Linked DNA regions of Styela clava. The protein of the gene in region 1 purifies or fractionates together with the protein of each later gene. This does not show direct contact. Links are inferred from orthologs where the notes say so. Each region holds a gene or a part of one and is shown in the gene's direction. Other genes may lie near its edges.

Evidence for each region.
Region 2: the proteins of uncharacterized protein LOC120327638 (region 1) and sin3 histone deacetylase corepressor complex component SDS3-like purify together in Homo sapiens (affinity purification with western blotting; 3 studies listed by BioGRID, with this or other methods). This does not show direct contact. The link is inferred for Styela clava from reciprocal best matches to the Homo sapiens genes SAP130 and SUDS3.

Annotation. Positions count from the first base shown.
Region 1 is NC_135256.1:11,354,887-11,371,402, reverse strand, and holds the start of uncharacterized protein LOC120327638, read left to right. Parts: upstream 1-10,633; 5' UTR 10,634-10,656; coding exon 10,657-10,887; intron 10,888-11,227; coding exon 11,228-11,443; intron 11,444-11,712; coding exon 11,713-11,981; intron 11,982-12,151; coding exon 12,152-12,270; intron 12,271-12,342; coding exon 12,343-12,471; intron 12,472-12,562; coding exon 12,563-12,705; intron 12,706-13,261; coding exon 13,262-13,471; intron 13,472-13,612; coding exon 13,613-13,715; intron 13,716-14,653; coding exon 14,654-14,764; intron 14,765-15,142; coding exon 15,143-15,266; intron 15,267-15,497; coding exon 15,498-15,587; intron 15,588-16,009; coding exon 16,010-16,143; intron 16,144-16,516. Other genes in the region: kelch-like protein 18, read right to left, coding at 1,021-1,170, 1,981-2,124, 2,656-2,766; uncharacterized protein LOC120328217, read right to left, coding at 3,928-4,983. UniProt on the Homo sapiens protein: Acts as a transcriptional repressor. May function in the assembly and/or enzymatic activity of the mSin3A corepressor complex or in mediating interactions between the complex and other regulatory complexes.
Region 2 is NC_135252.1:4,485,169-4,501,288, reverse strand, and holds sin3 histone deacetylase corepressor complex component SDS3-like, read left to right. Parts: upstream 1-9,893; 5' UTR 9,894-10,177; coding exon 10,178-11,110; 3' UTR 11,111-12,199; downstream 12,200-16,120. Other genes in the region: uncharacterized protein LOC120342985, read right to left, coding at 2,625-2,788, 3,204-3,357, 3,434-3,611, 4,112-4,182, 4,265-4,344, 4,490-4,670; tRNA (guanine(6)-N(2))-methyltransferase THUMP3-like, read right to left, coding at 4,883-5,029, 5,543-5,747, 6,159-6,258, 6,331-6,497, 6,966-7,063, 7,983-8,660; zinc finger MYND domain-containing protein 11-like, read left to right, coding at 12,232-14,055.

The DNA of each region.
Region 1 (16,516 bases):
GTTAAAGTAGAAATTCGAAACCATGAAATATGATAACAGTATAAATGTGAAAACTAACTTGATACATAATGCCACATATAAATCAAACAATATTACATGCACAAACGCTACTCAATTTCCACATTGTACTACCGTCTACCAGGAACAAAATTCAGATATGTGATATAAGGAGATGAAAATATAACTGCATTTATTTAAAATTACCAGAATTTGGATTCGATAACTTAAACATTTAATTTTTTTAAATCATTTTAAAATGTATTCAGTAGAAGAATGAGACAAATGCTAATGAAATTAGGAATACAGCCAACACATTATCTATTCCTGATTTCGAACAAGCCAATTTAATGATTATGTTCCAATTTAAATAATATTATATAGAATTGCAAATTACACATTTCCAACTTATTTCCAAACAACTATTTCTTCATAATATATTTAGAATAGTAAAACAGGCCTTTCTACTGTCCACAACCTGAGGTAAATTTGACATTAAATTATGTCGTCCAATTTTTTCTTGTTAAACTATGAAGATGAGATTTTGCCAAGAAGACTGCAAAAAATTGGCACTTTATTTTCAAATAAGATAAGATTTTTTATAAATAAAGTGATACCTCAACCAAAGATTAGCAGATGTTATAAATAGCTGAATTAAACTGATATGGGCTTACAGTATCGCATAGAAAGAATGACATAAACAGTGTAAACAAATGAGCTGTGACACGAATATTTTACACAGTCTGTGTTCGCCACTTGCTATATAAGTTCAGAGTAATATTTTTTAATCAAATTTCGAATGTCGTTTTGTAATCATTCCACCATTCAGAGTCAATCGTTAAAAAAAGGCAATCTTTATCATTACGTTCATTTATGATGCTTTACCATTGTCAGGAATCAGGGAGAAAAATCGCATCTCACACAATATACAGGTGATTATGGCACCTAATACCATGGTATCACAAAATAATACCCACTGAAACTATAAAACAGTAAAACCATATAATGACTGCCGATACTAACCTTAATGAATTCACAGCAATAGTCTTTTACATTTTGTAATTGAAGAAAATTTGCACCAACTAATATACTTTGTACATTGGTAATATCAAGTGTAATTCGACCACTGTATGCATAGTTGATGATTGCCTCGAGTGCAGCAACATCTATTCCCTGAAAAACGATACTTATAATAAAAAAAATCATTCATGCAATATGGATTGACAACTATCACTGAATGAAATACTGAAGTAAAAGCAAAATAAAATAGTTTGGATTAATTAAACCTAAAATTTTACACCCTATATTCAAACTCAAATAATCACAGACGGGGAAGGGGGGGGGGGGGGGGGATGTAGACTATTACAGGAGTGATTCAGACTTTGTTTGTTCGGCGCCAAATTGTCAAGGAAAAAGTCATTGCTGCATTTGAATTGAATTTTGTGATCGTTAATGTATACTTTATGCCTTTTTAGGTTTGTAAACATGTAGGCCTAAGAAATAAGGGCAAAAGGTCCAACTCTTCCTCCTCCTATATGCCTGATTTTCTATTAAAGTACTATAAATATCACACATGTTGCTTTGAACTCAGTTCAGGAGATAAATAAACTGCAGCTCACAAAATGCATCTAGTTATAATACCTCTATTGTTACATACACTACGTAACAGAAAGCAAATGACATAGAAAGGTTAAATGAATTTACCGATTCATATTCACAGCATTAAATATAGGAAACAAAACATTTTCAATGATTAAAATATATATTAGTTGTGTTTAACACAATTCCGTTAATTCTCAGGGTGCACTTAGCAAATGCACCGCAGCATACCCTTTGGAAACGGATGTCTTATACATAAGGTGATACCATTATGCTTATACACTGATACAACCATCCATAAACATGTTCCCATAAATTAAAAAAATGATGCCAACAGGAAGCCTTCAGGGCAATAATGGAATTATATAGATGACTAAACCTTACCTGCATTGGAATGACAGGCATATTAGCCTCCACCATATCCGTTGTAAACATGCTATTGAAATAAGGTATCGAAGCAGCTAAAACAATACGATGAGCAGAAAATTGACCACCTTCCACTTTCAGAACAACATCACACATCTTTCCCTGTATTGAAATGAACGGATAGAATAATAATTCGAACAAATTTTGAAACAAGAACAGTATATATGTTGACATAATTACAAATTTTTAATTTTATTCTACTCAGGTTAATACTTTGTATTCTTTTATTCATGGGCAAAATATGGGTATGACGTTTACTCAGTAAGTATTCATAAGTTAGTTAATAAATTTGTATGTGATAATTCCTATAGTTAGCCAACAAGGACAATGTTATGAACTAGTTAATATCAAAAACGCATAGGTCATTGTAAGTGAATTGCTGGCCAAATTTTGAGCACTGACAAAAAGATAAAATTGCGCAACTACAGTGAAACCAGATATTCAAAAGTAAATCGAAACTCAATGTATGACGTATTCACTATTTTATTAATACTAAACTGTATTATTTTATTAATCTATAAACGATCCATGTATTATTACCTGTAAAAATGCATGTCAGTATTTCAATTACATAATTAAACAATATATCGAACTATTATCATATGTATAATGCACAACAATTTGTTCACCTACCTCTCTTCGAATCTGTTCAAAAACTGTAAGAATATTGTTTCCGAATCCATTTGTAGAAAAAGTTTCTTCAGATTCAATGTCTGTAAAATCCGACAAACCAAGAGACATCATGGGTGTAACAGACAACTAATTAAGCAACAGAGCTATTTATGCTGAAAACTTTAAGAAGCGGCTTTTTTATTGGTATAATATATCAAGTACAATAATCGCAGTAATATAGACAAAAAAGAAACACGGAACACATTAGGAAAGTTATTCAAGGAAAAATATAGATCGAGAATAGCTCTGAAACTGGACAAGAACATGACTTTAGCAAGAGTCCATGAAACACCAAAATAGCTATTATGAATACATTCCAATAATGACTGGCCAAAATTCCTGCATAACATTTTACAACATTTATTCGACCAAATCAGACTTCCTCAGGCAGGCAGTTTACCAACAGTTACCAGTGATAATATTGGAATATTGATTATTACAATTTATGTGGGACATGCAATACAAGCCAAATGTGATATTTCATAAAAGATTGATTAGACCAGGTTTCGGTAGAATTATTCCAATGAATAACAAAACTCAAAACGAAAGATGTCACAGACAGATATAACATGACAATAAAGTTTCCTTAGAGTAAGTCTGAGGGCTGTCAGACATAACTCTCCAAATTTAGATAAATGATACATTTGTGTGACATCACACAAGAGTGTGACAAAGTTAGTACACACAGTGATCAAGAATTTTAATTCACAAACTGATGATGACTCACTGTGACATATGAGACAATCGAAAAATGAAATCTAAACTTATGATATAAAATATCAGAATAGCTTATCATTCTATAACTCTGATGCAAAATACATTTTGACTTCAAATTACCTGAACAGATTTATTTTGAATTAAAATCCTAAAGAAACTTGACAAAAATGAAAAATTTGACATAAAACAAATATTGCAAACTAATAGAAAAACAATAACTCTGACCATCTGTATTCAATCGTCTTAAAATCTGTCTAATTTCTTGAGAACCCACAGTCAAGATTATATAATTTGAAACTTTATGAATTTAGAAGCAAGAAATAGCTTTTTTTTTGTATAAAGAAATATTGAAAATGGATAACATTCATATGACCAGTCTACCAGAAGTCTCGACATTTTGGAGTTTTTAGTCTTCATACAGATGAGACGAAATACAAGTACAATGAATTAGCTAAAAATGCCACAATTGAAAATCATGAACAATCACAGTTTAACTAGTTGTCTATGGTTGCATTATCAATAATATCTTGAACCAGACAATGGATTTGCAACATGAAATGGGCTATGAGGTTTTTCAGGATGTCCTTGATATCTACCCGGTGATCCCGATCTTGATCTGGAACCCTGAGTGACTTGTTGGGGTATCAGTGGTCCTTGCGGCAGCATTCGTATCATAGATCGTCTACCGGGAGAAGATAGTGAACCAGAATCATCTCCGAAACCCGATTTTTGACTGGCCATTTCAAGCTGTTTATCCAATGATAAAGAATTGTATGGTGACCTCTGATCATTTGATCGAGCGGTTGGTGGAGTGCCATGTAAAACGCTTATATGACGTGATGGTGTTCCATGAATGCTACCATGTTGTGTTGTTGGGGGATTAGTCAGGCCTGATAAGGAAAAGTGACTTGAAGGGTGAGCACTAAAAGCGTGATCATATTTTGAGTGCTGAGGCGCTGTCGGCAGGTGGCCAGACGCAGCCATACTCGCTCTCTGATACATTTGTATAGGGCTTGGTTGGGGTGATGCGGGACTATGTGGTCTCTTGACACCTTGGTGAGGGGCTGGGGAAGTCTGCGGATTCATTGAATGTCTCAAACTAGGATGAATACGAGGGGACGATTGACGACCAGGTAATGATAGATATGGCATTGCCTGGTGGTGTTGGTAATGTCCTCCTTGCATCATTTGGTAATTGCTCATGTTGGATAAAGAATGTGAATAATGGCCATGACTGGATGCAACCATTTCGGTTTGTTCTTTTATTTTTTGCTTTTTTCTTTCTTCCTCTTGAAGAACTTTCTTCAATTGACAAAAAAGCTGGTGTTTCTCGTCTTTCAAAGTCTCATGTTTTTTGTGCAAACTTGACAGTTGATCTTTTATTTGTTCCAATGTGACGCTATCTTCCTCTTCTTTCCTTCTCCTTTCTTCTTCTATTTTAGCACGCCGTTCAAAGTCTTTCTCAGCCTCCTTTTCTTCCCGCATTCGTTTTTCTCTCTCTCGAACAACATGCCGCCTAAGGGCTTCCTTCATAGGCTCAGACATCTCCTCTCTTTCAACCAAAGAGGGCATTATTGGTTTACAAATATTAACCTGTTAATAAAATTAAAATTTAATGAAAAACTTGTTTTTGTTCACATAAACGAACCAACTTAACGCGATAGAATGTTCAACTCAACGTGATTGAAAGAGCAACTTCGCGAATCGTATTTCTTTTAGGCGTAATTTTAACAGATTTGATATTTCTAATTCAAGTTTAAAAAACAGTCAGATAATAAGTAACTTTTTAGAAAATCTCAGTCATCCTGGTCAGATAATAATGTTAGAAAAGCACGAATAAGGAGGTTGGCAAACTTAGTTTGTGTAAGGTAACAGTATATCTAATTTTTTTATACCACATATTTATGCCTTTCGCTCCAAACAAGACTTTTCCATAGCAGCCACTGATATGTAAGTCGCTATTTTAGAAAAAAATGGAATCTTTCCGTGCATGGCATACTCATTTTATCACACCATGGGTGGTTAGCATGGAATTTGAACCAGAAATTTTAACCTACGATTCCTTAGTTAAGTATAAAGCTTTAATCTTAGTTAAGAAGTCTAAAGCCCCCACATCCTAATCTTTATTTAACATTTTTACGTCACTTCCACCTCGGAATTGTTATTAACTTTGCATATTATTTTATTCTCGCAATCGCCTCATGTCAAAGCTTTTACAATTTCCCAAACACACCGAAACCCAAGCGTCAAAGCCACAGTTGGGATGTTCCGTTTAAATAATTTTACACTTGTTTATTTTAAACAAGTTAATTCTGTCAGTTGCACGCTAAGAAACTCGGTTTTCATGCGGTTTCAATAGAAGTTGCACGCCGGGAATCTGTGATTGCACGTTTGCTTTCTCGTGAAAAAAAGCCATGAAATACAGTCTGGCAATCACATATAGCATCAGCGATGAAAAAAGGATAATATTTTGATAGAAAATATGTACATGTTTATGCGTTGAAGGAGTTAGTTCATAAGTAGGGATGTAAGTTTCGAATATTTTATTTTTGAAGCGAATTCCGAATCGAAATGTTCCGATTCGAATATTTTTGAATCTGATTCTATTTAGTATAACATCATATTATCGTTAACTCTCCTTGGATTTAAAAGAACTATAGCATAAAGGGTGATTAAATAACAATAATGAACTTGAGGAATGAGTGAAGTTAGTAGAAGAAAACATTAAATTGATGCTTGAACTACATAATATATTAGAGGATATGTATTATTTCGGTGCTCCCGAAGTATGCGAACCAAGATGGCGGACATCGGAACGTAACATGGGTAACAGGTTAGGGTTAGGCGATAATTTTTTTCCAATTTTCCTTATTCTAGTCCTATTATCAGTTCGAATACTAGCCAAGAGCCTCCCGTAGTATTTATACCTAAAATTATGGCCTAACTCTAACCTGGTACACATATTACATTCCGATGTCCGCCATCTTGGTTCGCATACTTCGGGAGCCCCATTATTTCTATATAGAGTTACACTCAGTTATATTTACTTATTACAGTAATTTATGTTCGCAAACAATATAGGATGTATAGAGATGGTTTCTTCTAAAATTCATTCAAATGATAAACGTCAGTGAAATATGCGTTAATATTGCTTGCGCCGTGATTTTAAAGAAAGCAAATGATAACGAGGGAAGCATCGCAGACCTATGTTTTATTGCAAATATTGTTGTTAATATGATGACATTATATAACTTAGGTAATTTAAATACTTGTTCATATAATAACATATTCGTTTAACTTCCTGACATTTTGAATAGTCTAAAAACAATTTAACGAAACCATTGGTTCCTCTGAGGCGGCGACCCATATGAAATATAACAACCCCCGGAGTGTTAAGACTTGGGAACGCTGTAAGCGTAGAGAAAATGAATGTTATTGTTCAACAAGACAACACTGCGGCGTCTTGCAATCGCCTCGTGTTATCTAAATTAATATTTTTTCAAATAGAATCAAGCTGTTTTTTCTCAAATTGCTTCGAATTGATGTTGATTCGAATCGCTTCGAAATTCTTAAACCTACATGGCTACATCCCTATTCATGAGAATCATATAAAAATCACATGAACATGAATTTTGTTTATTTGCATCAAAATGTAACAGCATATGTAGAATACACAAACATTATGAAAGATTCAGATGAAACTGTAACCTTTCCACATAAGTTACCTATTTTTACAATTCCCATTTTATTATTATCTGAATACAGGTCCCTTTTCAGCTTTTCCAATGATGTTTTTATGGCATCATAAAGTTATAGGTTAAACTTAAATACAGAAATATAATGTCTAATTAATATTATTTATTTGTAAAATCAATCGCGGTATTAACGATATATTGCGACGGCAAAGAAAATAATAAAAACATCTGAGATCAGAACAGACGAAACATACTGCAACCCGCGCATACCCTCAAAACGAAATCGCTCGGCCGTATCGAGGATCGACGACTGAGAATACCAAACGAATTCCAATATATACATCACTTTAACTGACTATTCCCGATACTAAATGACTAAGTTACGCTCCTAATACAAATCTAGGACATCAATTTACGATGCCATTGCACTTCAATTACAATCTCTAGTCGAAAACATCGCTAAATAGCGACGTCTACACTTCAGGGTTTCCCAATCCTTTCAAACCGCCCATTCTGTTTTTATGTCGCGACGGTCTTTTGCGAGGGACGCTTTTTTCTTTTTCACGGCTGAGTTACGTTTCCGCACCAGTGGCCAATAGAAATAATGCTTTGCTACCAAAATCAACCAATGGAAACATGGTATGGCGGGGGTTGCAATCTTTTGCGCACGGCTCCCACCACAATCATGTTGTTGTACCAGTCGGAATATTTTTGAAGGGCTGCTTGCTGTCGGCTTAAATTTGTAAAACGAGATTGTTTTTTATTTACTTTTGTGCCGCATGTAAAAAAGGTTTTCCATTGGTTCATATTGACTCTAGTCAGTTTTTGTATTCTGAATAGACTACTTTTGTCTTGCGTAATGAAGTGTCACAGTTTTTATTTTGTGAAACTGTCGGCTGATCTAACGGAGGCTCGAAAAAGAGATAATACTGGTATCGCGTCTTGAGTTTAAGCTGGGTTGTCTTCGTTTCGATTTTGGATGGAAGTAAATCACATGGAGCTTATGTAGTAAGATGCTACATTTTACTCTTAGACTCTATGATATATTTATTTTCTATGTCTGTATGTAGCCTAGAGCTGGGAGATTCAACATAATATAGTAATACCGGTACTGATGGACTGTGTTAGGACTGCATGACTGTATGGGTCTTAGTGCTGTACCGGTACTGGCATATCACTTACAGACTTATGCAACAGCCTAATTATAACCATCTGTTTTATTTCGATTGATTAGGTATGATAGAGTAAGATCTGAAGATGGTAATCAAATGCAATTTTCTGAATATCTTACATTTTTCTAGCTATGTATTCGTTACGTTTTTCATATAAGTAACGTTATATCTGTATATAGAACAAACCTAACATATAATATGGATTGAAATATTTGATGGCTTACATGCATAATATTTATACTAGCTGACCATTACCCATGGTTGTCCAGTGGCAGTAAACCATGTCTATAAGTCTATTATCGACAGTTACATATTTCTGAACTACATGTACTAAGAGAGAGATATAAAATTCAATCAAATTGTTAATTTAATTGGATTCAAAAAACAGTAATTCACCTGTATTGATGAGATTCGAAGTTAAATTGTTTTGTGGCTTCTGCTATCTTGATGCAGAGGTCATTCTACTTCAACTCAAATAGATTAAGCGAATATCTCAAACTAAACATTGATTTCATATCTATTTCAACAACAAATATTTTCAATTTCAGGATACTGGTAATTTAAAAAAAAAGCTACACAATCGAATGTATAATTTTTTCTGGGTGAACTTGAAACCTGAAATGCCATAATGATAACCGATATTGGCATTTTCACATCTATTCCTATATTATAATATTATGAACACGCATAATCTTAAAATCACCAGCTTATAAAATAAAATAAATCCTTTCAAAAAACATTTTTGAAGGATGATATCCATATACAGGGTGGCCCAAAAGTAGGTATACAGTTAGTTATTAAAAGTAGGGTTTGGTCCAAAAGTAGGTTTGTAGTTCTCATTTAGGCATTTTTAAAGTTTAAGAATGCTAGCTATATCGTAGACAGAAACTGTTTAATCTCTTAAGTGCTCAAAATGTCTTCCTCCAACATTGCAACATTCTTCACACCTGTCCAAAACACTCTGACACACAGTACGACACAAATTTCGATCTTCATCAATTTCTCTAAATGCGTCATGAATGTAATCTTCTAATTCATTTATTGTTTTGGGATTTTACTCATACACCTTATTCTTTACAACACCTCAAAAAAAGAAATCCATTAGTGTCAGATCAGGTGAGCGTGGTGGCCATTCAATGCCACCCCTTCTTCCGAACCAACGCTGCAGGAAAGACTTCGTTAAGGTAATCTCTTAAATATTCGCCATTAACCCTCAAATAAAATAAAGATTTACCAAATGTATTACCTTCCAAGCAGCTAGAAAACTAATGTAAAATTCACACTAGATTTATTATCTAAAAAATAAGCAATTTTTGTGGTACTTAACGAGCAACATAAAGTGAACTGCAAGTAGCTTCAAAGCATATAAAATAGTTCAATAACTGTATACCTACTTTTGGGCCACCCTGTACGCAGGATATATTCCTTCTATATGGTATAAAATGAAAATATCAATTTTTTACACTTTTAATCTTTCTATTTCTACTCGTGTATTTTTTGGGTACATTCTGTTTTTTTGTTCAGGCAAGTCTTTTTTAAATGACTAAATATTGATTCATGATTAAGCAATCAAGATATTGGCATTCTCAGTCTTTTGAAAAGAGATAGCTGAAGTTGGGAGATGTATACATTGAGCAATGAGACACTTTCAGATAAAACACAGCCTTGCTACTATCTTTTTCTTACATCAGGATTTTTTGTGTAGAATGAGGATAATATAAATGTGATTTAGTTTCATATATTTGAGGGTTTCCAGCACCTTACAAATAGTTTTTGATGCCACAATATCAGTTATATTTATCAATTGGTTTGGATTAAATCCAATTTAAAAAATTTTGCTGCGAGACTATTATATGCTTGAGAAATTTGGTATATATACTTAGTACATCTAGCTAGCAACTGAAAACTATAAACAATTTGAAATTTGTATACAAATTGGTTTTGTAGGTTTATAATTTTAGTCATCTTATATTAATTTGAATTTTTTTGAAGACCACATAATGAAAAACAACAATATACTGTCGACTGAAACCATTGCATGTTTCTTGTCAACTATTATATATATTCTATATTTTGTGTCTTTTTGCCTCGGGGCGAATAGTGTTTAATGCTGTTCTCCCATGATGCATTGATATGATTTTTTACAATATTGTGTCGGAACAACTCGAATTAAAATACTTGCATAGCATACCATGCTTCATTGCTCATTTTTTATATCGGTTTTTAATTGGACATAACTTGGCCAGGCCACTGAGGAAAAAATTACATTCATTCAAATGTTTTTCTGTCAGGAAGAAACTAACTTTTCATTGAGTCAAGTATCGAAGTCTGTATCAACTTCAATCTCTAATACCATATTTTTTCACTCAAAAGGTTTTATGATAAACTTTTGTTATAATGATGATATTGGATTTCATAAAGTAACAATGACAGAAAGCAAACAACCGACGCCAAATCGATTATTACGTCCTGGTGCTATTATTGCAAACCCACCTGCCCCAGGTTCGCCGTTTATACCTAGAAGCCAATACTCTTTGATGACGCCTGGAGACAAACACAACCCAGCCACACAGTCATCATCTGCTACTATCATTCAACCAGCTTTAATTGTAAGTAATACTAAATTTAGTGAGTATTTATATTTGGCTTGTTTTGCCTGGCGGAAGAGTCTCATTTTCAAAGCTAATTTTGAATTTCATGGAGTTAGAATTTTATACATTCAAGGGTGATAATTAAGAAGTCAAAATTATTAACAGAAACTTGAAAAGCATTATGTTTACCAAGTATTCCTTACAGTCTATTAAAGCAGGCCTGCATTCGCCACAAATTTGCTTTCAAAATTTAATTTTCTAATAACTGTCATTTATAACAGAGTCATTTATATATGTTCCCAAATTTCACAGCCCTAATTGAAACTATTTCAAAAAATGTGATATTTTCTGTTTTTAGTCGACTGCAGTTACTACCCGATTTCAAGTTTCTCGTCAAATTGGGTCCAAACCACAATTAATGGTATCCACTGGTTATAAGCCCAGCGCAGGCAGTGTTGCTGTACCAAGAGTTTACTCTGGTCATGCTTCCATTGAAAAAATAGGCACACCTCTAAACGCAGTTTCTGTTGACACACACGTGAAAGCTAATGTTAAACCAGTGCCAATGGCAAAGGTGAGTATCAATATCTTATAGGCCAATTTTCAATACAATTTGGAATCTTGTTTTGACTACTATTTCGTCATCGAATCGAAAATAAATAAGGTCAATCTAGACTAATTCTGATTACTATCATTTATAAACAATATTAATACTTATTAAACCCTAAATATAGGTAATGTTTCGACTTTCAATGCAATGGTTATGGAAAAAAATTTGATATTCATGTGTTTCCTGTTTTGAGATTCACTTTGTTCCAACCTAAACACTTCTTATACTTTTAGTCTGTTCCTGTGTTGCTTGGTCCTGGATTACGGCAAGTCACGAAAACGGGTACATATGGCGATCCATCACAACCTTTAAATGTTACCCGAGTACCAGTTCCAACGAACTCATGGGTAATCCATCAGCAAGACCTCAACACACCACCAGTGTCGAATACATCAGCAACAGCTGCAGTCACAGTGTCAAAAACAAAACTCATATTCCAAAATAATGCAGTGACATCTACATCAACGACTGTGGCAATGTCTCCTCATGATTTGTCAAAGAAGTACGTTTTTTTTAAATATACATAAATGCTGTCGCTTATGCAATTTCAGCAAAATGTTTTGGTACAGTTTTTTCCACTATTCTCAATATTTTTTTTTGACTGTATTGGAAATAAAAACTCAATATCTGAAGCTCAACTGATTTACTTGTCTTTTTATTTTATATTTTCAGGCATGGCAATCTGCCGCAGACGAAATCAACCATCAGTATTTTGCCAACCCTACCTAATATACCTCCTCCAGAAGCAGTTCACAGGAATGCACTTACAGCCACACCTGTACTCTCCGCAGGTGAGTTATCTGAGCTATTCAAAATTAACTAGAGTTTAAGACTTCTGTAAATATATTGTTCATTATTTTTAGGTAACAAGCCTATTTATCAAGTGGTAGCACCTGGATTTCAAACTAATATACACAGCCAAAATAGTGCGATTAAGAAACTATCTGTTTCTGCTACAATTGTCAGCCAGCCATCTGCAAGCACTACTACAGGTAAACTCGAAATTTCCAGAATAAAACGATTTTATTATCGTTAGAATATGAATTGAAACTGAGTAAATATTTACTTATTCATTGCCTTTAGCGAGTTTTCCATCATCAACTTCTGTACACACGACCGGTCAAGTAACAGTGATGACATGTGGACCAGGAATCACTTACATACCAGCTCCTAATCCAGCTAATGTATCTTCTATACCAATTGCAAAAGTATATCCTCAACAACAGGTAGATGATCAATAACTAACTATTGTTGTCTAATTACCAATTGATTGATATTATAGGATAAAAACTGCTTAAGGTTCTTGCTCGATAATGCACTAACAACCAGATATCGATTGATTGATTTGTGTAATAACGAAAATACTTAACTTTTTGATTTTAAGATATTTACATAATGAGAATTGATACCTCTTGGTATTTTTGTAGTATCATGTAACTTTGCTCAGTGATGATTCCCCTTTACTTCTGAATGAGTTCAGATGACATTGATTTAAGCAAAATTCTTTAGTGAATAATAAGAAATCGATGTAAGGTAGCTAGTTATTGCTGACAGTATTTGAATAGCTTAAATCTTCACTCATTCAATTTTAAACACATCGATTTACTCCATTAGCAATATATTATAGAATTTTAATTTCCCTTCGCTAAGAACAGTGCTTATAATATAGAGAGTTTTACTTTCGTTTAAATTGAATTCAAAAAATCTTTCATTTTAAGTGCATTGGTGTACAAATCTAGTATTTTACGACATTAAATTGCATTACAATCCTTACATTTTCAGCCTACGTCGAGGGTAGCATTGACAGCTACAAGCGGCCGATTGACAGTTCCAATGATATCATCAGTAAACACATCCAGTTCAACGGTGTCTAGGACAACAGGTCCCGCGGTATTACAAGTTGGTTCAATCAAACCGACACCCACCACTTCTACTGCTATGACATCACAGTCAACAATTGTATCCACCATACCTGTTGCAGCAAATAATAAGGTTTGTTCTGTAATACTCATAGACATGATAAGTATATTGGGGAAAAATTTGATTTTTGTTTACTTTGACCACTACGTTAACTACTGCTAAAGCTGTTTTATATGAATATAATGAACTTTATGTATTGTAATCATTTTCTAGTCTGTTGCTTTATGTTGGCCAACTACCTTGAACTATGCTGCTCAACAGACAATATCATCTGCGGGAAGTACTGCTGCTTCAAGACCCAGCATAACAATAACAAGTAAGTTGTATTTTGTTACATGTATTTATATACTTTATTGTTGAAATGATAGACTCCTTTTCATCTCAGATTCAGAACAAACGGCCAATGCGATAATTTAGTTAAAAAAACTTCTGAAAACTCTTAGAAATATTCTAGAATATATTTAATTAGGAATGCATTCTAAGTAAATCAAACCATTTAGTTAGTTGATTATTTTTAAACTTGGAATATTCTGCGCTGTTTTTCAAAAGAAATAGGATTTCTTTCACTGTAAATGTGAATATGTACTGTAAAATATTTTGTTTTTTGCTTGCACTTTTGATTAGATATTTTAAATTATAATTGTAAGATCTTCGACCGGTAGTAACATTTTCCATCCTATGGACCTTTTTAAACAGTTTGCTAAGGTTGTGAAGACCTAATAAGCTAGTTACTTATCGATTTTAATCGGTAAGTATGTTGATGGGTATTTGTCTGTCTGTTAGATGCACGCGATATCTCACGAAAGCGAGATTGAATCTGCTCCAGATTTTGCATGTGCATTCATCTTATCTCGGACCAGAAGCCTATTTATTTTGGGCGAATTATGTCGTATAATTAGCGAGTTATTATTTGATTAGTGATGGGACACAAGGTGTCACTATGGAATAAGAGCGCTGTTTTGTGGGATCCCCTAACTTTCGATCGATAAATTTTCGGTCTCTGACCGATATTCTCGTTAATAATATTATTTAGAAATGGTCTCTACTAGAGGGCTGCCTTTGATTTTTTTCTCCTTTGCAGTACCACAATGAAGAGTAGTTTATTTGGATTTTATGTTGTACATGAAAAGCTTATGGAATCTTAATATCTTACTATGGACCCGAGTTCTTGACCACTGGAATTTATGAATGCACAGCATGGTTTATAGCTGTGGATACTTTTTCTAACCCAAAATTTTTAATCTTTCAATTTAGGTACATCGAATCCACATCAGGTGGCAACAGCAATAAGAGTTCAACATGGTAGTAGCGTTTTAACGACACATTTACAAGGTTCTGGTGGTGCAGCTCCTTCTTTGTTGCAAGGTGAAATATTCAGACATTCGTTTCATTGTCACTACTTGTTGTTTACATCTGTATAACAGATATGACTAATGTATCAATTCGGATCATAACATTGCTTGTATAGGATGATAATAACAATCTTGACTCTTTTTGTAACAAAGATTACAAACAATGTTTTTTCCTTGTTATGGATTTAGATGCCTTATAAATATCTAGAGTCAGTCTTTTCCTACTAATGGGCTTCATATTTCAAATTTTTAAATTGGCAAGTTATTGATGCAGTTATTAAATATACTTGTCAACTACCAACAAGCAACCATTTTTTTCACTTGCTGATGTCTTGTGTTATTTTTGTTAGAATAATAATTGTCATTTCTAATTCGTGTTTCATTTGCACAGTCACTGATACTGCAAATCGAAGCAATACGTCTCATAATCAAGTCAACCCGCCAAGTGGTGGTGGCCCTTCTACGCCGACAATGTCTCCGAAGCCAGCTATATTAAGAAGACAAAGGCCTGACAGGTAACGATGATTAGCTAATTTTTGTGCTTGTGTCTTGCTCCTACAAGAATTCTAGGAAATTTCATTGAAAAGATTTTGAATGATTCAAATGTGATAGGACAATTAATTAGAATTTTTTATCTTAAACAGTGATAAATAAATTTGGTTGCTGTGTTATTTGCAGTCTTCTAATTTATTCCTATTTCTCGGGTATTTGTTTCACGAATGGTTTTTCAATTTTTTTTTTTCCAGTTCAAATGTTCTTAAAAAGTTGTCATTCACATCTGCATCAAACTTTCCAAATCAACGTCGAGATTTCCACACTTTACCAAATGACAGAAGGTATATATTTGTAATATATTAGTTAGCAGTAATCAATTAGGACTAGAAATGGACCTCCTATAGAAAATGACTTTTGTCTTGAAAAGAAACTCATTGTTCTATCTTGAATTTTGTTAGTTTTTGAAAAGCCTGTCATCGTGCATGTTTTTCGCCAAATGATTCTACATAGCTATTCAGCTTAATGGGCGACGTATAAGGTTTTGATATGATGAATTTCATAATTAGGTTGCTCCATTTTTCTCAAAATAAATTTTTGCACAAATGTTAACTTTATGTCATATTCAACTTGATACATTATTAAAAATAAATGAATTTTTTAGCTTTGTAGGATTTCTATCAAATTTGTCTTTATTTACCGATAATCAAATTGTTTCAACCAAATTTGTACTTGAAACTGACAATCTGATTCTGCCTTATTACAGGTCTGCTCCTTATCATATAAATCGACAAAAGTTAACAAATAACGCTGGAGAAATGAAAGATGTTCCCATAATCGTACCGACTGCGGGAAATCAAAATGAAAAAGGGGAAACCAAACCTGTGTTGCCAAATCAAGGTTCGTCTTCTTAAATTTGACATGGTGTTGTTTTATAAATGCTGCAATTTTAATGGGAAGAATTGTATTTATTCTTATTTTAATTTGTGAATCTTAACTAGGGGTTATTGACTTTAATTATCCGTGGCTTCTCTCAAAGACTCTCAACACTTTGGCCCTTGTCCTTATATAAAAACACACAGTTTTGCTTTATATGGGTTCTCATTTATTACCCATGTTCCGAAAACGTAAAACTACCAAACGAAAGAAAAAGAATGAACGCATTAAAGTCTAAGAATTTCACAATCAATTTACTTTTAATTTAATGTAGTCATCGCAAAAGGTATCTGGTAAATGCCTTTTCTAGTGGCTCTTAGAGTACAGCTCTGTGGCC
Region 2 (16,120 bases), on another chromosome or scaffold:
CTCAAAACTAAGTCACGCGTGCAAACTTTAGTTTAATTGAAGTACCGAAATAAAATAAAAAACGATTAGGTTATATTACTGTACTACGTTCAGTATTTTTAATGGTACTAATTAAGTATTCGAGAACAAAACAGTTTGCAAACGCCAACTCGTAGAATACTCTTAAAAGAGGCACTAAAATTAGTCAATGGTATGAGTACAGGAAGAATTTTTCACGATTGAAAGAGTTATTTTATTTTTGTCAAAATTTTAGAGACACTAATAAAAACTGACATATGGCACATAAAAACAAACCAATAAGTCTGAACGGCGTCTAAACTTCAATTTCAACCGACTGCCATCAATACGCAATAAACAAATCGATGCTCAGGAAACAATAACGTCCGACAACATGGCGACCTATGTAATATCAATATCTCGTTTTGAGATTTAATGACACCGAGAATTCTAGATTGCAGAGGGACCTGACCGCCAGTGAAATCGATCCCCTTTCTGAGTTATATTCCGATATCTCATTGTCTGCGTCCTAAACTTTTATCAAATTTACTAAAAATAGCTATGACACTAAGGGTCGATACTCCCTATCGTTGAAAACTACTACTACAAGGCCCAAAAAGTTCTCAACAGGGCAACGTGAATAATTACGCAGTTATTTGGAATGAGTTATCTTTCCGAAGATAACATTCAGATCTCACGAATGTTATTGGACACGTTTAGTGGACATAACGATCGTTTCAAAATTTTGTTGTTATTTGTCTCAATCATTTTTAAAAAATCGCTTTTCTCTTCGAATACTGAACCAATTGCTTTGAAATTTTCAGTGGTTAAAGATAAAATTTTTCTCCAGAATGCTATTACTTTTTTTTTTCGCTTTGACGTCATCAAAATTATTGCCATTGGGTGGCGCTACGTGTCCATATATTTGAGCATAGCTCTCTTGTTTAATCTAGCATCGTTTAGCCAGACAAATGCCAAAGCTTTTGTTGACTTTCCCCTACTTGTATTCTTCTATTGCGTCTGTGCTAAATTCAGGTTGAATAAAATTTCCACAAATTCCTCATTGCATGTGCTGGCGTGGAGACCCAGCCTGTTAGTGATGCATCAGTGATACAATTCTTCGTTAAAATACAGTTACCTCGACAAGAATGGCCAGGGATGTAAATATCGTATATTTTATTCTCGAATTCCGAATCAGAATATTACGATTCGAATATTTTCGAACCCGATTATATAACATCATATTATCGTTACCTTTCTTCACATTCGAAACAACTAAATGATAAATTGTGATTAAATGATATTAATGGACTAAGAGATGGATAACGTCAGTAGAAAATTAATTCAAATTATGCATTAAATACCCAATGAATTGCGGCTTTGAAAATTTTATTAAATGTATAGTGATCGTTTCTGCTAAAATGTTAAACTCCAGCCAAATGTGCTTTAGTATAGTTTGCGCCAAGATTTTAAAGAAATACAAGAGTACGAGGAAAACATCACAGACCATGTTTTTAATGAAGAATGATAAATTCATGTTACTATATTGGTACTCCAGAGAAGCGCTTTTATATAATGACATATTTGTAAAACTTCTTAACATTTTAAGTGGTCCTCAAAATTGAGCGAAACCATTGGTTCCTCCAAAACTGTGACCGGACTGAGGAGATGGTAAGAAATCGCAATAGGTTTCAGCTTCATCCCTGGAGCCAAACTACATTCAAACTGTGGCTCAGGAGCAACATTTTTTAGCTTGGACCTGACCTCTAAGGTGCAGCTTTAACAAAATGTTGGGATTTCGTGCTCCAGCTCTAAATGTGATCTCTATGGAATATAGCAACCCCAGAAGGGTGGCCTTGCAAAAGCAAAGAAAATAAACGAAGAGACGATTTTGGTCGATGTTGAGAAAACGCACAGAGTCACGCAATTGCCTCATTTAACTGAATTTTCCTTAAACAGAATCAATCAGTTTGTTTTTTTAAATTGCTCTGGTTCGAAATTCTGGAACTTACATCCTTAACAATGGCATTTCTACCTAAATATAGTCAAAACGATACTTTTCAAAGAATTTTGGAAAATGTAATCAACTTGCAAATAACAGTAGCTTCTTTACAAGCTCCAATTCCTCAAACATAAATTCGATCATTAATTTTGGTGACATCGCGGCAAGATAACGATACTACAAAAACATTATGAACTTAAGCACGCGTTGTCTTATTTCGCATTTGGAACACACGCACCATCACGGTCTCACAATTCATCTTCGACGGATAGGTTGTGCAACCCTGCATTGATAAAACGATGCTATTATATTTCATGCAGCTGACTTCATTTTTCATATGTTGTATTTTGCAGCTAGATTTCATTACATGATACTGCATCATTGAAAATAAGTCTGAATTTCGGTGAAGCACTCCTCTGATAAATAGCAAATAGGCAACCTGAAATATTTTTGCCCAAGTTGTGATGATCAAGACAAGATCACATATGTTTTTATTGTATTTCTCAATGCCTACTGGGCCTATAGACAGACATCCATGGCATATAGTACTGCACAATGACCCATAGGAAAAATAAATAAACCTTATAATTAAGTGCAACATTGATATTAGGAAAAGTAATGGTAGTTAGTTCACAATTTTCAACTTCTGACCACAACCAAATATTTCGCCTGGCTGTAAAACTTTCCTTTCACTGACATGTCCAGCTTCAACACAAATCATATTCAAATAACCTTCATCATCAAAGTCCGACATTTCTTTTGCTTTGGCAGACCATGGATTCCAAAGAACTGAAATACACAAAATGCATTTACTCATAAGCAAAGCCACGAGTGGTCACCAAAATCTTTGGGCCTCGTGATAAATAGTCTATAGAAAATTAGATTGCTATGCAATAATAGAGGTTACTTTACTTTAAGCAAATTTTCTTATAAACCAAGTGCCTGTCAATTTATACTAAATGCTCTGTGTTTTTGATACAACCTATTACACTACTCTTCCATGTGGTTCGTGTACCAGCTCCCTCCACTATATATTGTGGATCTGTAATTATTAACTGAGTCGTTATAATACCAGATCTGATCTGGTAATCAACTGAGAATCATTGTTCCTCTTCATATTGAGCAGTTTTATCTTCTACTCCTCTGGTATAAATATGAAAAATCTGTCAATGAAATGGAATTCATAAAGTTTTTATTATATAACCTGTATCCTTGAGATTTTGTTTTTCTATTTTGATTTTCCTCCCCTGACTGGATACAAAATGACATTTGGTTCCTGAAGAAATGTATACAGAGTCCACATTAGCATCAACGTGAATTTTTTCACGATTTTCCACTCTCCCATCTTCCTTAGTAACCTGTTAAACAAATTCATTTTAGATGGCTTAAACGAATGAGATAAACAAAAATCACTTTAGTTCATTATAAGACTACCTTGTCATTGTATGTACAGCCTTCAAACCCAGTGACTGAACACTCTTTAATGCTTGACACTCTGAAGTACGTATGAAGCAAAGCTGTGAAATCAAATGATTCGGTACCAGTGTTCGATATGGAAAGAGATGTCTCTAACTCCTGTGGTCTCAATTCAACAGTGTATGTCAACCGGAATCTATAATACACAAAAAAATGATGGGATTAACTAAATAAAAGCAGGCTTAAAAAGCATGACTGTGGCACAGTGATCCAAACTTTTTCAGCTCACAACACACTAAAAAATCACAGCATACTTCTTACAAAGCAAAGTTCTTTAAATCATTTTTTTTGTAAACTTTAATCCGATAAATGTGGCTGCTTCAAGCGGATTTGAATCACAATGAAGTCTTACCATTACCAAGAACATTTGGATTTTGTTGCAACTCACAATCACACTCGTTATTTTAATTTCAATTTCTGTCAGAAATCCATATTTGTGATTTGTCAAGCTATAGAGTTTGTAAGAAGCAGAACATAGGCTGCTTAAGTTAATACACTAATAATAGGTATTTCATGTTGCCTGATAAAAGGATTAGCAAAACCAAATTTCTAGAAAATGGTGATGCCGGCAAGGGCCAAATAGACTGAATATCCTAGGTCGATGCTTCAAAATTTGAATCTTTTCATGAGACCAACCTGTATTTCCACAATGATAATGTGTGATCATTTTCTTCTAAAACAAAAGTTGCTCTCACACAGTCTTCTAACTGATAAAAAAAACGGATTGTTCTTTTATAAAACATCAAGATAAGGTCATAGATGTAAAGATTATGTTATATATAGACATACCTTTTCCTGTTTTTGTAACTTCCACCATGAAATTCGAGCAAACCCATGTTGAGGACCACATGACCAAGGACCAAAGTTCGCTAAACAAAAATTTTTGGATTGGTAATATCAAAAATATATGAAACTACACTTCAATGAAGTACCAATCATCTAATGAAATCACAGGTATAAATATGGCAATTTCACAAATGGACAATTTAAAATATAACATTTACCTCTACTTACGAAATACGACTGGTATTCCTCCTCTGATTGCCTTGCTTCCATCCATTTTTGACAAAGTGCTCAAGAACAACTGCTCTGTATTATCATTAATCCATGATATAACTGTTGCACCAAATAAATGGATTTTTGCCGACGAGCCATTATCATGAATCAAAGTAACAACATTTGCATCCATATTCATATAATAGATTAATAGAAGTTAAATAAATCCTAAAGAAAATTTGAAAGCAGTCATTATGATTAATTCATGAGGACCAACAGAACAGAGTCAGTAACATGGCGGTAATTTCAAAATGGTAATTCACTGGCATACTATTCATCTGCAAACACATCTGAACAAAGGGACTATAAACTGAGAAGGAAATTTCAGACTTATAATCTTTCATTTTTAATCTAGCTTGGCATGTCCTCAAAATTATTCTTTGTACGTTGCAACAAGAACACTCCTGCTGTCAAGCCACCAATGTTGATATATTGCGTCTTTTTCAATTTCCATAGGAAGTGAAGTCCATCAATTGATCGTTTAATTGTTCTTTTGTCCTAAATTATGTTAAAAGGGTGAAATTAATAGGAGAAAAACTGTGCCAGTTTTTTATAAATAATGAATGGCCATTTTCTATGAAGATATACACATAGCATATTGAAGCAAGAAATAGCTCAAAGCTGAAATATTTCAGCTTGCATTTCAGTTGCTCGGAAAAGGCTGTGCATAAGCAGTCATTGATAAGGTGCAACTTTCATTTAGGACGAACCAAAATTATTTCAATTCGACATCGCATAGCCAATTTATTACACCCTGTGTGAGGTGGTGAGCATGGGATTTCAGCCCAAGATCTTAAACCTCAAAGGCTATCAAAGTTAAGGCTAACTGTAACTAACAATACCGAACCCACAAATATGAAATTTCATAAGTGTCCTTTGTCTGAAGACACAACGGGTCAATAATTGTCACAAGTGTCTATGATGGTCTGCGAACCAGGCACCACTAAGCAGAACTAAGAATTCAATCCACATACCAAACTATGTTAACAATTAAAGTAAAGGCTATTATACCTGTGTGAGCAAACATGCTCTTCCACTGTCACATATAGTTACTCGTGCAAGTTCTTTTAATAATGCTGGATACAGTTTACGATTATCAACTTTAGATCCAACACGTTTCCCAAATGGTAAATCTGATACCACAACATCGATTGAATTAGTCTTCAGTGGAAGACAAGTAACATCCCATTGTATGGTATCTGCTCTGAGGTTCATTCTTTGCAAAATAGGATGGTTATTATTGATAAGGACAATCAAATAAATAAGTTTATACAATGATAAAATCCAAAAGATGTCGACCGGAATCTATAATACACCAGTAATTGATGCATTTTCAACTAAAGAAAAGCAGGGTAAAATGCATGACTGCAGCGATGTTCTACCGTTACCAAGAACATTGAAATTCGTCACCATTACACTTGTTTCTGATTTTAATTTTTGTCAGAAATCCATATCACATAATAAAATGATAAAGTTTATATATAGTGATCCAAAAGATATAATTTGTAGAATACTGTACTTCCTTTTATCATGAATCTATGAAAGCCAGCATTTTCATCTCTTTTTAGACAAAGTCTACCTTATTTAACACTGGAGTATTTTTCAATTTTAAATCATAATCACCAACCTTTTGTCTTTTTCATGGTGTCCATCTACAAAATCTGGATTTTCGTTAATAAATTGTAAATTACAAGAACATCTTTCTGTGGCCGAACTAGTGTTGTCACCTAAAATTTAGAGCTGAGTTTATTATGCTGTTATTTTTTACATTGAACTAAATGACACAAAGCAATCAATACCTCCTATATGATAACTATTTGGCCATTCCAAAGCACCTTCAACTGGTATAGCACCTGAACCACACATTGGGTCGACAACCAATTCTCCCGTCTGTATATTACACATTCTAAGCATGCAATAAGCAGTTGTAGCACGTAGTGTGGTTGCACCAAAATGAGTAATATTCCTAAAAATAAAAAGAGATATCAATAACTATGTTTAATTAAGGTTAAAAGATCCCCATTTTAATAAAATTACTACGCTAAACAAGTGTCTTTTAACCTCCTCAGTCCTCACACTCTCAAAAACCTTGGTGAATATTTACATATTTCAAGATGTGCTGTACAACATTTCAATTGCTTATTTAGCTCAGCCTAATTGACATTTTTTAAACGAAAAATATTATAGGATGAAACTGGCATTTAAAATAACATTTTTAAATACAAGCAACAATAATGTCAACAACAGCAAATAAGAAGGCATTCGTGACTCAATCTTGAATGATGAAAAACGGGGGTGATCTATTTGTAGACAAAGCAAAATATGACTGCAGTTGAAACACAAAATAGAATTTATACCATTATCTATTTCATTTGTAATAATGTTGTTAAATATATGGCTTATTGACCAACTGAGATATTGTTTTAATAATAACCTTCTGTGCAAACTCTGAAGAGTCAATGCTACTGCAACTTCCAATGAACTCTCTCCTAGACATAGCATAATCTCCAAGTTGTAATTTGACAAATCAACCTGAAATGAACACACTTTGTAAATTTCAATCCATTTTGAAAATTTGATATTTATTAATAAATGATATTGACAGCATAAGAATATTTTTTTTTATGAAATGATTTGAAATTTAATGTGATCAAGGCTGTCGAACACGAGTGTGCAAACTGTGGCCCATGGGCCGAATGCGGTTCACAAGAAAAAATTGTAACAAGTTAGCAATTTGGTTTAATCTGGTACGTGCAAGTAATTTCAATCCCTTTACGTTGTAAAGCATATACCGTAACTGAGTCCAAATATTTTTTATCTATGCCTATGAAGTTACAATGCCCTAACTAGCTTGTGCGAAACAAACAATGCATGTCATGGGGCCAAAGTATTTTTGCTTGCAACTACTAGAAAGCCTATGTTAAACAAATGGGCAGCCCGTGGTTTTACACAGAAGTACTTTCTGCAACTTCGCGAGCTGCAGTTTATTTATCTGCTGAATCGAGTTTAGCGAACATGAGTAATTTTTTCGGCATTTCAAAGTAAAATCAGACAGAGATGACGGAAGAAGAGTTGACCATTTGCCTTTATTCTTAAGACCTACCTGTTTGCCTATAGCAAAACCAAAAGGATTGCTGCAAACTTGATAATGAACTTAACAGTCAAAAAGCTAGGCCGACGGTTAACGAATATGCCCCTACCTTACCTTAGTTAGTCCGCTTTAGGCCAACGGTGACACGATATTGAACGGTCAGTTGGGCGACAACTTCACGATCCCTAGATCGCCATGGTGACCCATTTAGACGTATTTTTGATTTATTTTTCACAGAACACTCGGAAGACGCTCGCGAAACACTAGTGTTCGGCGGAACACAGTTTGGGAAACGCTGCTGTAGAGTGTAGACAATCAGTCCAATCTTTTACAATATAATGTTAGAAAACAAAACCTCACCTGCCAATCTGTAATATCTTGAATCTCGCCTCCAAATCGATAAGATGCTTCGGGGGAAGTGACAGGTTGTTTTTTTCCAACTCTATTAGTTGTGACACGATATCGCACCAATGTTCCATCTGGGGCTATATTGGGTACAATAGGAGTCCCATTTTGACTTGTTCGTGGCTTTTTTGGTTCTTGAGGCTCAGTATCAGATGATGCTAAAATGTCATCTTTTGCTGGTTCCCTAGGAGAGTCATCCAATTTATCCCCGTTGCAATAGGAATTGCCTTTTGCCTGAGATTTTGGGTACTTTTTGTAAAGGTTTTCTTGTCTTGATTTACCTTTGCAGTACTGCTTATTGTAGCCCCAAAATTTTACAATATCAGACCAGTTGATTTCTCTTGCTAATTGTACAAGATCAGCATAAGATTCTTCTTTAGTTTCCTTGTAAATATAGTTTTCACATGTTTTTACAATCAAAAACATGCGATCAATCGACCTCAATTTATGAGCAAGTGCTAAAGAACTTCTGTTTGTTTTCCAATACACACGACCTTGCTTGACAATTACATCACTCTTATCCATATATGGAAATTTTTCTTGTATTTCATTTGCAGCCACTTTTTCAAGCCCTGTTGCCACAGATGCAGCAACAGTGACATTATTGTCTGGGTTAATATGGTTGGGATTCATACTTTAGGAAAAATAAGATGGGAGTGAGTATAAAGAGAAGGGGTAAAAGGGTGGTCGTTCATAACTATGCCTTATTTGTTGACCGTATCACCAGTAAAATGAGATACCATCTGCCCTTAACATAAAGTGGGTTTATTTCACAATTTCAGTTTATTGTTTATCAATTCGGTATTCAAATTGGCAATCCATATAACAAAATTATCAATGTGATTCATTTTTCACAGTTCTAGTTTTCTACTTTATTTGTTATAGTACTATCAGACTATGAAACATTATCCTAAGTTTCCCTCGTTATTTATTTGTTTTATCTGTTTTGCTGTGTTTGAATTAATTCTATATTTTCCACTTCCTTTCGGTTGTAAAACTTTTAATTTAAATTTGGCACCTTCTAAAGCTTACATAAGGCTTTGTTTGCCCTCCTGATTCTGTAATTATTTTGTTTTTATTGTTTGTTATGCGCTTGGTACGATATGTCCCTACTAAAATTGCTATATATGTTTGCTATGCCTATGCCCTACTAAAATGGCTATGTCCATCCTAAAACGGCTATGTTCATACTGAAATAGCAATGCCCATACTAAAGTAAAAAGGCTATGTCTCTGCTAAATCAGTAAATTGGCTATGTCCATACTAAAATGGAAATGTCTGCTAAACTGTCATAGTATTCACGTGTGTGTTGCGTGAACGTAAATTAATACGTCCGTTCCTGCTTGACTAAAGCCTTGCTTAGAGTGAAAACGTATAACGCCTTATTAATGAAGTGTGACACAATACCGGTACATGACCTATCGCAGGACACACGGTATAATAACAAGTCTTTCTGGTTTTAGGTGTATGGTCCCAACTACACCCATTGTGTAAACGTAGATTAATACGTCCGCTTCTGCTTGTCTAAAGCCTCGCTTAGAGCGAAAACATACAATGCCTCGTTACTTAAGTGTGGTACAATATAGTTGCATGAATGTAAATTAATGTGCTTACCCACGAAATCACAAGTTGCTCAGATGAGGATATCGTGAACGTTGGTCAAAATTGGTGTCTCGCTTGAGTTGCGTATTCATTTTAGCTCTGCGAAACGGTGAAGGTACGAGAGAGGTCGCCGGCGTTTGTTCCATACTCGCATGCGCCTTTACGGGTAATCGCTGTACTTTGACAAGCTTTTATTCAGTGATTGTGACGTTGCAGTGACGTACCGGTACCGTGCGTTTTACATGGCATAGTCATGGGGGTTAGAAATGACATAGGATAGGCCTATGCCTGTATGCAGAAATCGTTATGCTACTCCCACTAGAAATGCTTGTTGTACTAACTGACTAAACTACCTAGACCAGTAGACCCAGGTATGACCGTATGGATCAGAGACTGGATATTCTCTATAGTCCTGTACCGGTAGTCAGATAGTGGTGGTAGCATAAAAGTCATATTACAATATTGGAGATGTGATATTCTTGTAAAAGTATCGCTTTGTGTCCACGCAGATCCTAATTATTCACAACTTATAAACAGTAGGCCTCTAAATGAAGAAAATGTCGGAAGAAGATGAATATGACAGTTTTGATGATGAAAAATCACCAAAGAATAGTGAGGGGAGATCGAGCAGGCAAAGCAGAGGTCATGATGAAGACACGGATGACGCTAGTGAAACTGACCGAGCTAAATTTGAAGAAGAAGCTTTGGACCAGATATATAGGGACAAACTTGGTCAACTAAAAAAGCAACTAGCACAACTTGATTCTGGCACTTTGCAAGAATATTGTAAAAGATTGAAGAAACTGGAACAAGTTCACAAAGATAGACAAAGACAAGCTCATGCACATCAAGAATATTTATTGTATAAAGTTGAACAAGAATATGAACGAGAGAAAAAAGCTGCTATGAAAGACTTTGATGAAAAGAAGGTTGAATTAAAAGAAAACTTAATTGCAGAATTACAGGAGAAAAAGAAAATGATCGAATCTGAGCGTCATACAATGGAGCTCACAGGAGTTTGTCCTTCAATGGGAGATGCGAAAACACAAGTGAAACGTAATTTACGTCGACGAGCACATGACCCTGCCCCAGCAAATAATGATAAACGCCGAAAACCGAGTCCAACGCAACTAAATTTTGTACTTGATGATGAAGAAATTCTAGAAGATCTTAAAATCATTAACAAAGGCAAACCAGCAAAACTTTCTCATGAAATATCAGTGGAATCTCACAATACGAGTGGACAACCAGTAGAAGCTCGAATCGAGGGAGGAAAATTATTATATGATAAGAAATGGTATCACAGGGGGCAGCCAGTTTTTATTTATAATTACAAAGATAACACAAAGTTCAGTGGAGTTATTACAGTGATCGCTGACAGAGAAATTACAATTCGCAAAACATCAGGTGTGTCTGTACGGATATTTGCTTCACAGCTTCATAGAGGAAAGTATGGAATAAAAAAGAGAATGACTCAATGACAGTGACATTGGCGCATTACCATATAATGTCATCAGTAAATGTGTTGTTACCACAGGATGTCACCGAAGGTGCACTGTTGTGAGAATGACAACCTTTTATTCCCCAAAATACGGGTCTTGTGGGAAGTCTGTATGCACTAATGCCTTATCCAGAGACTTGTTTAAGACGAAAGTATGTGGACATTGTGCTAATATTGTGATGTACTTAATAATATTACGGAGTATAAACAATTTTATGATTGTGAAATTTTGTTGTATTAGATCCATGAATTAGGCTATAAAAAAGTATGAGGTTTGATGTCTGATTTTAGCATCTCTTCTTCAGGGAGCAATTTTATTATTTTAAAATGTTTTGCTATGAAAGTTGTTTTGTGGAGCATCTGTCGTATATAACTGCAAACATAAATAGTTTCAAAGTGATATTATATTAGAATATTATTTAGATCAGGGGTGTCAAATCCTAATATGATGTTTTATGTTTATAAAGGCGCTCACATGGATAAAATACATAATGTTTCTTTTTGCTCTTGTCGCTGCATTGAATCTTTCGCTGTTTTGCTCAATGCATTTATTACTGTAAGGCTAAGCGAAAGCCGCAATCTCTCGTCTTGTCTTTACTGCTAAATTTCTTGTGTGACTCAACTAGATGTCTGATGTTGGTTATATGGCCCATTGATAAAAAATGTTACACACCCTTGATTCAGATATTTCATATTCATAATTATTTTTCATCCTGTGTTTGGGATGTGGATTATTCTGTTTCTGCCTATCCCTGTCATAGTGTGAAGTGAAAATAAACTGTTGAGTTATACCATTGCTTTATGATCAGTTTTAATAGAATAAGGTTCCGTTTGACAATTTGTTTTCACTTGCTGATGGATACTGCTGAATCGTCAGCAATCATATTTTTAATTGTATACCTAAGTTGACAGGAATAAGTTTCATATTCTTGTAATGTCTTGATCTAACAAATACCATATTATGACAACTGACGATGCTTAATTTTCAACCTTTCAACCGGTGGCTGCTTTAGCAGAATTTTGTTTATTTTTTGTACATATTTGTATAACATTCTATTCTTTTATTTAGCCTAAAGATTTTAAAAACCCTAATAAAACAAAATGTCATTTTGTAGACATTCTGAACCCGTTGCTCTTCAGCGTATTTGGAAAGCAATTGATGTTATTCGTGGCCAACGTCAAATTGCCAATCTTTCCCGAATATCTAAAGTTATACAAAGAGAGTACTCCTATACTCCAAAAGAAATTTTACATCATATTTTGAAGGCTGTGAAGGACAATATGGTTGTAGAAACGGTTTCAGTTGGTTGCAAAGGTTCCAAAGCTGGGATGGAACAAGAAGGTTATTGGATTCCAGAAGATTCTAAAGTTCACTGGTATGAACAAACTCATGATTGGTATTGTTTCATATGTCATAAACCTGGTAGACTCTTGAAATGCAAAGATTGTGTGAAAGCTTTTCATAAGGAATGTATGGAAAATTCAATAGAAGAAACCAAAAGTTGTAAATACTGTAGACGGAAAAATACTGCGTTATTGGATGTCAATCATACCAGAAAAAGTAAGGAAATATTTAACAAATGTTTGAGATTTATTGCTCACCGAGCAATGGAAAATTTTCCAGAGATATCGCATCATCCTGATGCGGAAGGTTATATGCATTATAATTACTTTATAAAGCAGCATATGAATTTATATGAACTGGAGAAGTTATGTAAAGAGAATAAATTTGAAGTTGCCTTGGATTTTCTTTGTTATGTAGAACTGATTGTTCATAATTGCATACTTCTGCTCGGTGAAAACCATGAATATTCAAAATCTGCCAAAAGTGTGTTGGAAACATGTATGCATGAAGTCAAGGAATTGTCTTTATGCTCTAACTGTTACTTTCTGTCCAGCACAAAACCAACAAAAGATTGGTTTAGCACTCCATGTCAGCCACCTCATAGAGTTGTTTGGGCCAAGCAAAAAGGATTTGAATATTGGCCTGCTAAGGTTATTCAAGTAAATAATGATCAAGTGGATGTTCGATTTTTTGGTGGTCATCATGAGAGAGCATGGGTTAAAGTTGATAGTATGAGAAGCATTGTTGTTAGTCCTTCAGAATTACAAATCAAGATAACTAAAAGTTGGAATAAAGCTAATGCTGAAATGAAAGAATACATCATACAGACTGAAAAAGTTTATGGGTCAAACTATGCTGCTCAAATTGTTTCTTTTGACTATGAATGTTCAAGCGAGGAATCCTCTGATAGAGGACAAGAACTTTCAAACATTGAGCTGCAGACAAAAGCAGCAAAGCGTAAGGCAAATCCGAAGGACTTTACGACAGAAAAACAAGGCAAAATTCGTTTAAAAATCTCAAAGTCTAGGCTTAAACCGGAGAGCATAACTGAATCTGAAAGCAATACTAGTGGAAGTTCTGCTGTGATAGGGATTATACAAACTACGCATGCAGATAGAAAAAAGCAGATCTTAGTGCTTGGTGAAAAGGCAAAACCGAATAGTGAATGTGCTCGTACTTGGCAATATGGAACTGACTGCATTGTTTTAATCAAAAAATATAATTTAAAGAAAAAATACTCTGGTCTTGCATACCCAAATATCCAAAGTTCTAGAAAAGCACACAAAGTGGAATCAGAAAAAAATCAATTGTCCAAGTCATTTAAATGCAACTGTCGTAAACGATATCAATTAGTGTTATCTCGATATAAAGCATCTGTGAGAAAAATGAGAACAGTAGAGCGAAAGCATTTGTTGATTTCAAGTGCATTGTACATTCGGCGATATTTAAAACAGCAATTCACTCGCGCACAAGATCTTGAAGAGGAAGTAGCTCGATTAAAATCAGAAAACAAATTGCTAAAATCAAGATTTCCTGAGAACGCTGAAAGTGCAGTAATGGACACGACAATATTAATTTAATTTTTCTTACATAACTTGGATCTGATTATCATTCACTATATTATTTGGATATCCTCAGTCATCAATTTGTTTCATATATATATTAAAAATTGGGCGCTCCAGGAGTATGTGTACTAGTACTGAAACCTATGGGCAGGGGCTATATTCACTTGGCTAACACAGACTGTCCCTATTCACTTGGCTAACACAGACTGTCCCTGAACTCCCTAATAGAACTAAAATGAGGAAAATCCTAATAAATTATGGCCTAACCCTATCCTGGTACACACATTTCGGGAGTACAGAAAATTGCATGCGTTAACGCCAACTGTGCATCTGTCAATGAATCTTTTTAATTTAACCTTATCATCATACTAAAAATTCATCTCTGTGTATGCCTTTAAAAATTTTAAGTATGAAAGTGAAAAATAAAAATGGCTGCTTCCATGTTTCATATAGCCTTGCATCGCAAGACTTGTCTTTTTATTCTCATCTATGTATTATGTTTTTATCTACACTGGTTACAAACCTGTATATCAATCACTGTTCAATAATTTGGAATGAAAATATTACATGAAAGAATTTTTTTTCAATCATGAATTATAATATTTCTCTTTCTACATGAATCTTGAGTTTAGCTTGGTGTTGTCTCTTTGTAATCATGCTTCCTACAAAAATCACATTTACTCAACATCACGATGCTCGCCAATACTGCTACTCCGCCAATACTGCTACTCCAATAACCTAAGTTGGTAAAAATGTTGCTGATATTTAGCCATATCAAATTAATTTCAATTCAATCAATTGGAAGGAATTTTTTTTCAATTTAAATACTGTAGTTATATCGGCTCTGCTAATGTTTTAATATAAAAATGAACAATTCAAAAAAGGTAACAATGTCACATTAGTTTTGACCAATTTTTTAGAATACTGGGTTCATAGCATAAATCATCAGATACCGGTACTCTCATTTTTGGACATATGGATAAAACTCCATTAATATCAAATATTTATAATTGAAATTCATCGAAACAATCCAGGTTATGCTGAATTCAAAAGTTGGTGGTATTGATAAAATGTCTACAATACAGAAAAACGCCCAAGATATGTCCTTGCCCGTTGCTGAGATTTTTATTCCATCTCGCAGATTGATAAATTCATCTCATTATTACATTGTTTGATCCAGATAGAAATAATTTTCTAAACTAAATTATATCATTTCCATTGGGAGTAAATTACGGTAATTTCAATTTTTCGTATCTCTTTACAAATCAATAACAGAAATTTGCAATCAAAGAATGTAATTGACCTACTTGTTTTCAGTATGGAGTTAAAATAATAAGAAATTTTCACTGTATTTGTGTTTATATCATCTGAACCTGTAGCATGAATTTTTTGTCTGCCATCTACAGGTAGTTTTTTGTTGGTGATTGCAAACTGTTTATGAGTAAGACTGTCCACATACCAGAAAATTTGTATGAAATTCAATAATTGAGTGCAAATGGGGTGTTGTATATTCAATTTTTTTCTGATGGATTTTTTTATTTTTTGATTTATTGTATACTTAGAAACACAAATCTGTTAACGCCTAATTTTCTTTTGTGTTTTTTGCATTGTGTCTTATTCTAATCATTGCTCAATTTTGTGTTCAATATTCCTTACTTTAGTAAAGCTTTAAAAACTAAGTTGTCTTTTCTTAATTTTTTTGGATACATAACACAAAGGACGAGACATAGATTCTATCGGTGAGTAAAGCAAATATATTGAGTCATTGCATGGATTTATACTGACGTTGTCTATTCCCTGAGTTTCCCACAGGCTCATAATCACGTAATTTTCTTGAAGTCCTGAATTCTCATGTTATTTAATCCATCAGACTGCTAGGAAATGTAACTTCAAATTGAATTATGAATAAAATTTATTATCACAGTGTTAAGGAAAGTAGTTGAATTCTTAAACTATAGCATGCAGTTTGAGTTGAGTTTTCAATGTTTTATTTAGAGTTCAAAAAATAGAGTAATAAAATCGAGATAACCAGAATATCCAAGAGAGATAATATGTTCTAAAGCTCCTGTAATAAATATTC